2 linked regions of the Struthio camelus genome follow. The protein of the gene in region 1 interacts with the protein of each later gene in a pairwise test. Links are inferred from orthologs where the notes say so. Each region holds a gene or a part of one and is shown on either strand. Other genes may lie near its edges.

Region 1 (3,902 bases):
TATGCTCACAACACAACCTCTGGTCCAGGCACAGGTTAGAAAAGCATGGCTATGACTGCTCAGGATCCCTCACCAAACTTCCCGCAGCAAAAAGCTGCTTGCTCTCTAGACGTGTTTGTATGAGGAGTGTTTTCCTTCTAGCAGCCCCAGAGCATTTAGGGGAATGGACTGTGGGATGAATGCTCTCCGGTGTACTTTGCAAACTTCCTGGCATGTGCCATCCCGCAGCTCTCAAGCTCGAGCCTTGGGTCGAGCCCTGCGTCATTCTGGACATTTAGGAGTGGTGGTGCCAGTTTCTCCTGTCTCCAGCTGCTTTTTGAATGATGTGAGCCTTGCAACCTCCTCCTGGCAGGCACCACCTGCCCCTTTTGGCAATGGTACTCCAAAGCAGTGGCAAGCTGGGCTGCTTGTCCCTAACCCTGTGTACATGCATGATGGAGCCTCCTGTCGGACATCAGCCCCGACCGCTGCCCTGCGGGTGCCTTGAGAGCTTGACGTCCAGACCAGGGCATGAGTCCTGAGCCACCTTCAGCTTGGGAGGCTGGAAAGAGCAAATTTCCTGAGGCTCAGTGCGAGGTGCACAGTGCTCAGCCTACACAGTTGCAGCCCGAGAGTTGCAAAGGCTGTTGGTCCACTGTGGCAGAGCTCAGCCCTGGGTAGGCAGCACTGCCCTGAAAGTTTGGGCTGTGATCGCCAGGACAGCCTGGGCAGGCTGCAGCGTGTCCCCTGTTGCATAGTGTCTTTATATCCGTATCAAATGCCATTCTGAAAATACCTGTAGAGCGATCCCAGCTCAGGGGGTCATGTGGGAATCACTGGCTACGGGTCTGTGTCATGTTGGGCAGGAGTGATGAGGTGTCACCACTGTCTCCTCCAGCCTTTTGGACAGTGAATTGAGTTATTTGTTTCTCTGAGGAAATAAGTTGTTCTGTACCATGCTCTTGTGCACCCTGGATAGAAATGTCTTGCAATAGAAATAGCCATGGGATGGAGAGGACAGACAAAGTGCAAAACCACTGAGCAAAGCAGGATGTGACAGCTATAAACGTTGCATTTCCCTACTATAGCTTTCACACACGCCTCAGAAGTCATATGCGCCTGTACGAGCAACAGGGTGAGATACCTCTGTGAATGTTCACACGTTTGCTTTTCATCCGCCTGAGAGGCGGGCGGTTGGGTCTGTGGTGTTTTCAAATGCATCGAAACCAGCAGTCAGTCTGGTCTTAAACAGTCTGACGCTAGAATTAAGAATGACTGTATATCCCAGCCTTTCCATTACACTTGGGCTATTTCCCATGTATCCTAAACTACTTCTTTGCTGTGTTAGACAGCAAACTCTTACCTACACAAAGGAGACTTTGCTCTCGCCCAGGGTTAGTTTGCCTGCAGCAGCCTGTTCATCTTCCCAGCCTCCTGCTCTTCCCTGCCTGCTCCAGGGTGCAAGTGTCTCGAGAACTGGAGGCCTTGCCCCTTCCTGCTCTGGGTTTTCAATCAGTATCAGCATATGATTCGGTGTCAGGTGAAGGGGGAGAAGAGCAAGGGCCTCATCCCCTTCTCTAGCTCTTCTTCCAGGCAAAGGTACCCAAATTCAGCAAGTCCTGACGCAATGTAAATCTGGTGGCAGGCATGGGTCCCAGCGGTACTGCCACCGACCCCTTCTTACAGCAAAGCTGGGCTCGTTCCCAGGTACAAGATGTGATGGAGAAAGGATCTGCGCCCTCAAGGGTTTAGGGCTGGGTTCTGCCCCCACCAAGCCCAGCAGCCTCCGCTCTGCCCCGGGCCCGCAAGGCGCGTAGGAACTTGGGGAATGTCCCCTTGCATGCTGACGCACCACCGTGTCGGAGGCGGTATCAAGGCTGAACTTCTCAGCAGCTGGAGCCTTGCTGCCCTCGTGCCATGCCGCTGCGCGCTGAGTCAAGGTTTAGTTCCTTGTTCCTATATGAGCTGTAACATCCTGTAGCTGCATGGGTATCTGCACGCTAGTGTAAGAGTTGGCCCAGAAGGAGGAAACGCTGGATGTTTGTTCTCCGGAACGCAGGACCCCGACAAGATGGAGCGCGCAGCACTGAGAGGGCAGCTATTGCTCACAAGTGCCCTAAAAGGAGGTTTCCCAAGCTTGGGGTGAATCCTCCTTCTATCCTCGCTGGGGGCAGAAGTAGGTCTGCTCTAAAGCCGGAGGAGCCCTCGCAGGCTGGTCTGGCACCGGTTCCTGTGCGGGCAGCTGATGTCAGCCCTCTGCTTCTGTGCCAGCTGGTGCTCCCATCCACCCCTCGCCCCAGCCCTTTCCTTGGGCCATGCTCGTGGCGGCAGCTGCGTACGCCCCATCTGCGAGTCTCCTCGGCAGCCATTTCTACTTGTGCCGAGGGATGTGATGGGGGCACCTCAGGTCAGAGCAATAGCGAGTTGTACCCTCTCTATTCTGGTTTCCAGGCCTACAGAAGGGTGATGAAGATGCTCTCTCAGGTTGGACACCACCCCCTTCCCCAATAATAATCGCCAGTTCCAGGCTTACTTCTACCTCCAAAAGCAACAGAAATTACAGACTAGTCAAGTCTGTCTTGGCAAAGGCTATGCTGGATCAACCATCACTTTGGAAGGAGTAAGGAATGAGCGCTGTGGCAATGCACTGAGCTCTGAAAAACAGCTCAGGATTCAAGTGGCTACTTCTCAAGAGATTAGATCAAGCAGTATAAAACAAATTCATTGGAAACACCACAGGTGCTTCCTTGCCCTCCACCTGCCTCCGTCCGGAAAGAAGGAATATTATATTCACCTTGCATCAAGTTGTCTCCTGGGCTCCTGTGTTTCAGGCTGCAGTAAAAGTTGGTCTTGGCTTGCTCTCAACTTCCTCCTGCTCGGCTGGAAAAAGAGGTCAGTCATCGGGAGCTCTGCAACACGCTTTAATCTTTTCTTCCTATTTCTGTTATACAATTGGTTGGTGTCAGAAAGGAGGAAGTCAGAGTAGTGGCTGTGGGCGGGTCCAAAAAAAAAAAAAAAAAAACCCCAAAACCAACCAGCCCAACTTACCCTAGCCGAAGCCGTTTGCCCCTGCCTTCCAGTGCTATCTGTTGGGTGGTTTCAGCAGTAGATACCACGATGCTTCAGCCCACTCTGGAGTATTTGGTCTCATCCTCACCAGGCAGGGCTGCTGGGGCTGGAGGCTGGGTGAACCCCCTGCACAGCGGCCGCAGAGCATCCTGCCCTGTGGGGCCAGGTGTTATCCTCCTCCTGGACCGCACACTGCACCCAGGAAGAGTCCTCTTTGCTGCAGCCATCACCCCTTGTAGACGGGTGCCATGCAGGGTGCAGCCGTGCTGGTCACTGGCTGGCGTAGCGGGAGCCTTCTGCATAGCGTCACCTCCAGCTGGCTAAGGAAAGGGCTGGGCGAGCTCATGCCCCGTTCCCGTGCCGGGCCCTGTGCGCACCAGTGCCGAAAGAGATGCTGAGCCCGGACCAGCCGTGGGAAGCGTTGTGCCCCCGCGTGCCTTGTACCTGCAGTGCTGTTGGGAGCAGAAGAGCTGTCAGGAGGATGTATCCTGCTTCTTCCCAGTGGCACTGTGGGATTCCCGGTGGGCTTGCAGGAAGGCTTGTGCTGCTGCTCACCCCTCCGAAACGCAGCCAAAGCGGGAGGCACTGAGCAACTGGGCTTATCTTGGTGGGGTCGGCTGGTGTTTGGAGTGGCAACTGGGTCTGATGGGCTTGCTGCGGCCCATGTTGCAACGTCCTGAGCCTGGCCGGGTGTCCTCAGGCTCTCCGCACACCACGGTGGCCCCAAAGCCCTGCTGAGCGGGAGCTGCTGGTTCATGCCCCGCGGGCTGCAGTCGCCCAGTCAGTGGGAGATGATGACAGGGACCTTGTGCTGGTGAGGAGCTCACGCGCGCTCGCAGCCGTGGCCGCGCCGA
Region 2 (3,902 bases), on another chromosome or scaffold:
CTGGGGCCGGCCTGGTCCTCTGGGAAACAGGGCTCTGCGAGGCGGCAGCAGGGAGAGGAGCAGGGCCGCCACGGAGAGGCGTGGGGAAGCCCCTGCCCTCCCGCCAGCTGGGGATCCTGTTATCCTGCCCTCCTTTCGGCAACCTCCGGCACCTCACACCACCTCCTGGCACCGGCCACCCGCCACAGACAGCAAGGCCCCCCCAAGCACAAGCCGCTTTGCAGGAGACTGCACCGCTTAGAGAAATCCCTTAATCCCCCAGCCCAGAACGGACAGTAATCCCTTGGGTGCAGCAGGATTACCACCGCTGCCCAATCCCCCTCACCCCGAGGCCTTGGGGCCGGTCCTGAGCCGAGACGGGACCCAGCTCAGGACACCGGTGCCTGCAGAGCCGGGATGGGATCAGGCTCCCTGCCAGCAGGCTGCTCGCCGGCGCCGCCGCTCAGCAGGGGCCAGAGCGGCCGTGACTTCCCCGGCCTGGGCGATTCCCTGCCAAGATACCTCCTTCCACCAGCGTTCCCGCCGGACACTGTGGCGTCTCCCAAGGCCAGCACGGAGCCCCGCCGGCCCCGATGCGCTTGCCACCTGCTATCCCAGCGCTTCACCTGCTCCGATCCAGGGATGGCTCCAGTTCTCAGTACCTTCCCTGCGGGGGAGAGGCTGAGAAGGGGGTAGGAGCAGAGCCCTTCACCTTGGCAGGGAGAAGGGGGAGAGAGCCCACATCTGTGCCGTCAGCTGCTTACCCAGGGATTTGCTCTCTGCTGAGGCAGACGGCTGGAGAGAGGTCGCGTACCGTGCACGCGGCGAGGCAGAAACGGGTGTCAGCAGAATCCCACCAGCAAGAGCCTACCCTGAGGGCTCCCACCATGTCAAGAGACCCCAGCAGATTGTCCGCTACAAAACCAACAGAGCTCAAGGGCTTTGGGACAGCACTAGGATCTGCTAGGGAAGCTGCAAACCACGATGCCCTACTTGACATTGGAGAGACAAGCAGCGTGGACTTGGAGGTAGCCGTGCTGCAAATCCTGTACACCACCCTGCGGCCCAAGCAGCTCGGTTAGCAGGCAATTTCTGATGCTGAAAAATGACCCAAGTCATCTTGCAGCCAACTCCAGGAAAAATCAAGCGGCTGCTCTCAGGATCCTTCCCTGCAGCGCTCTCCAGCTAACGGGCTATGTTTAATGCCTGAGCGTACAGGCACCTCGAGAGAGCTGCGTACCCGGAGAGCCAAGTGTTTATACCTTATCTCAAACAGTAACTCTGCAGCGTCAAACGCAGCCACTTCTGGGGCGGGACACAGCAGCCTCCTAATCTGCATTACACAACCGTTTCAGGCAAAAAGCAGCCCGTGAGCCAGCACGGGCAGCGGGCCCGAACCGGCGTCTCCGAGCTCGAGCAGAGCCCAGGGCGACCTCGACTCCCCGGAAGAACGATCGCTGGCACAGCCCAGGGCTCAGAGCATCCAGACCTGGGCTTCAGCGGGGCCTCACCCCAACAGCCCTACCTAATCAGTCCCCAGCAGCCTCCCCCCTCTACAGAGCCCTCGCTCAAAGAAAAGTCACCTGCCAGCTCACTGGAGCCTTTCCCATCCGGGCACACGCGCTACCTTTTCACCCTCGTGGACAGCGGGAGGGAACGTGCTTCGGACAGAGGGGACGGAGGAAGGCTGGGGAAACGCGTGCAAGGGAGGGAGCCCGCCACCGCCCCGGCAGCGGACCATGCTGCGGACGGGGCCGGGGGCTCCCGCGCCGCCCCGCTCTAGCGGTCTGCGAGGCGCTTAGCGGGCACCGCGAACCCGGCTCCCGCTCCCGGCGGGGGCGCAGGGGCCCGCTGCCGCCCGGATCCGGGCTGCAGCAGCCGAAGGCAAAGCGCGAGCGGCCGGCGCCCCCGCAGCCGGCGGCGGGGCTTCCCCCACGGCTAGCCGAGGAAGCCACGGGCCGCGGCGCCGGGCGAGGCAGAAAGCTCGAGGGGAAAGAGAAGCAGCCGCCGGCGCAGCGCGGGGGCCGAGCAGCCCGGCTGCCGGCCGGAGCCCGAGGGCGCCCGGCTCCCCCAGCGGCTCAGGGCGGCCGGAGCCCCCGGCCCGCCGACGGCGCCGCCTGCCGCGCCCGCAGCTCTCGGTTTCGGCAGCCGCTTCCTCAGCGGAGCTTCCTCCTCCGGCCCCGCGGGCGGGCGGCCGCGCCGGGCCCTCGCTCCACCGCCGCCTCTGCTGCCGGCGGCTCCCGCGGCCCCGGCGTCGCCGAGCGGGAGCCGCCCCGACGCCGGGCACGCGGGCACCGGCTCGCCTGGCCTCGCCTCCACCTGCGCCGCCAGGGCCGGGCCGGGCCCGTCCCGCCCCCCCGAGCCCCGCGGCGCCCCCCCCCCGACCGACCGACCGACCCCCGCCCCGCCGCCGCGCTCCCCCCGCCCCGCCCGGCCCGGCCCGGCCCGGCCGCACTGACCGTAGCCGCCCTCCTCGTCCATGCTGCCGCCGCGCCCCGCCGGAGCCGCTCCGCTGCCGCCCGCGTGACAGGGCGGCGCTGAGGCCGCCGCGGGCGAGGCCATGAGGCGCCGTCACGTGACGCGGGAGCGGGCGCGGCCTCCCGCCGCGGGGCGGGGCTAGCCGCCGGCGCGGCCCCGCCCACGCAGCCCCGCTCCCCCCCCCCCGCCCCCGACGGCCCCCACGCGAGACAGCGTTCACAAACTCCGTTGCTTTATTGCACCGCGATCTCGGCGACAAGCGGGGTCGGGGCCCGGGGGCCGCTCGCGCGGTGCCCTGCTCCCCCACCGGGGGAGGGGCGGTGGGGGCGCGCGGGGGGGACACCACCGTGCAGCACCCCCGCTGCCCGTCGGGTGACACGGATGCACTCCCCAGCCCGGCCCCTGCCCTAGGGCTCGTCGGCACGTACATAGCGCGGATAACGAAGCGATGCCCGCTGCAGCCCGTGCCCCACGGTGCCGGCAGGGCTGGAGCGGGGTGTGGGGCAGCACAGGGAGCAGCGGGGTGCAGGGGGGAGCAGGGCCCGGCCAGCGGAAGACTGAAGGGCTGCACCACGCCTGGTGCGGCACACAGACGAGGGGAAAGCAGCACCGGGCGGTGCGTGGCACTGTACGAGGCAGGCACGCCGTCAGCAAGAGGGGGGCAGCACCTCAGAGCACCAGCCCAGCAGCAGCAAACCGCCCCTGCTCCCAGAGCCCCAGTGGTGCAGGAACAAGCTCTGCCCCCCTTCCTGCCCCTTCACCCCCAGGAGGCCCAGGCAGGGCACACCACAGCCCCAGCTGCAGGAGGGCTGGAGCATGCCAGTGCTCTGCACTGGGACAGACAGAGCAGCACTGGGAAAAGGGGCCCAGCAGCAGGGCAGGGCGAGGACGGACTTGGAGCATGCCCTGGCAAGAAGCAGCTCCAGCACAAGGGGAGAGCCCCATGACAGAGCGTGCCCAGGAGGGACTAACAGCAGCCCTCGTGGTCCCAGCTATGCAAACCAGGGCCGGTGTCCCACTCCCCACAAGGCAAGCAGATGCCACTGATCACCTGAATGAGCCGTGACGATTTGCAGGCACTTTCCAGTGCAGCTCCCCAGAGCCTCAAAGCACAGGATGAGCATAGCTGGGAGAAGGGCTGCCCCAACAGCAGCACTGAGGGGAGCTGCAACTCCTGCTTTCTCTCTGTATGCCTGCATGAAGCTCCAGAACTGGTAACTGAGAGATAGCAAGGATGGAAGGAGCTCTGGCAGCTCCGAGCTCCAGGCTAGGGCAGAGCCCACGCTCGCAGGCATACAGAGGAGCTGCTGAGGCAGCTGCACGCAGCAGCACCCACAGCAGACAACACCTGGTCCAGGGCAGGGGAGAGGGGGTCCCCTCACCCTTGGAGCTCAACAGGCTCTTCCCCAGCTACTGCTGAGGGTCAGAAGTGGAGGGAGGCACTC

The links.
Region 2: the proteins of ITGB2 (region 1) and CYTH1 interact in a two-hybrid assay, tested with the Homo sapiens proteins (2 studies listed by BioGRID). The link is inferred for Struthio camelus from reciprocal best matches to the Homo sapiens genes ITGB2 and CYTH1.

Annotation. Positions count from the first base shown.
Region 1 is NC_090947.1:656,062-659,963, forward strand, and holds the start of ITGB2 (integrin beta-2), read right to left. Parts: upstream 2,933-3,902; 5' UTR 2,774-2,932; intron 1-2,773.
Region 2 is NC_090960.1:636,412-640,313, forward strand, and holds the start of CYTH1 (cytohesin-1), read right to left. Parts: upstream 2,572-3,902; 5' UTR 2,542-2,571; coding exon 2,439-2,541; intron 1-2,438. UniProt on the Homo sapiens protein: Promotes guanine-nucleotide exchange on ARF1, ARF5 and ARF6. Promotes the activation of ARF factors through replacement of GDP with GTP.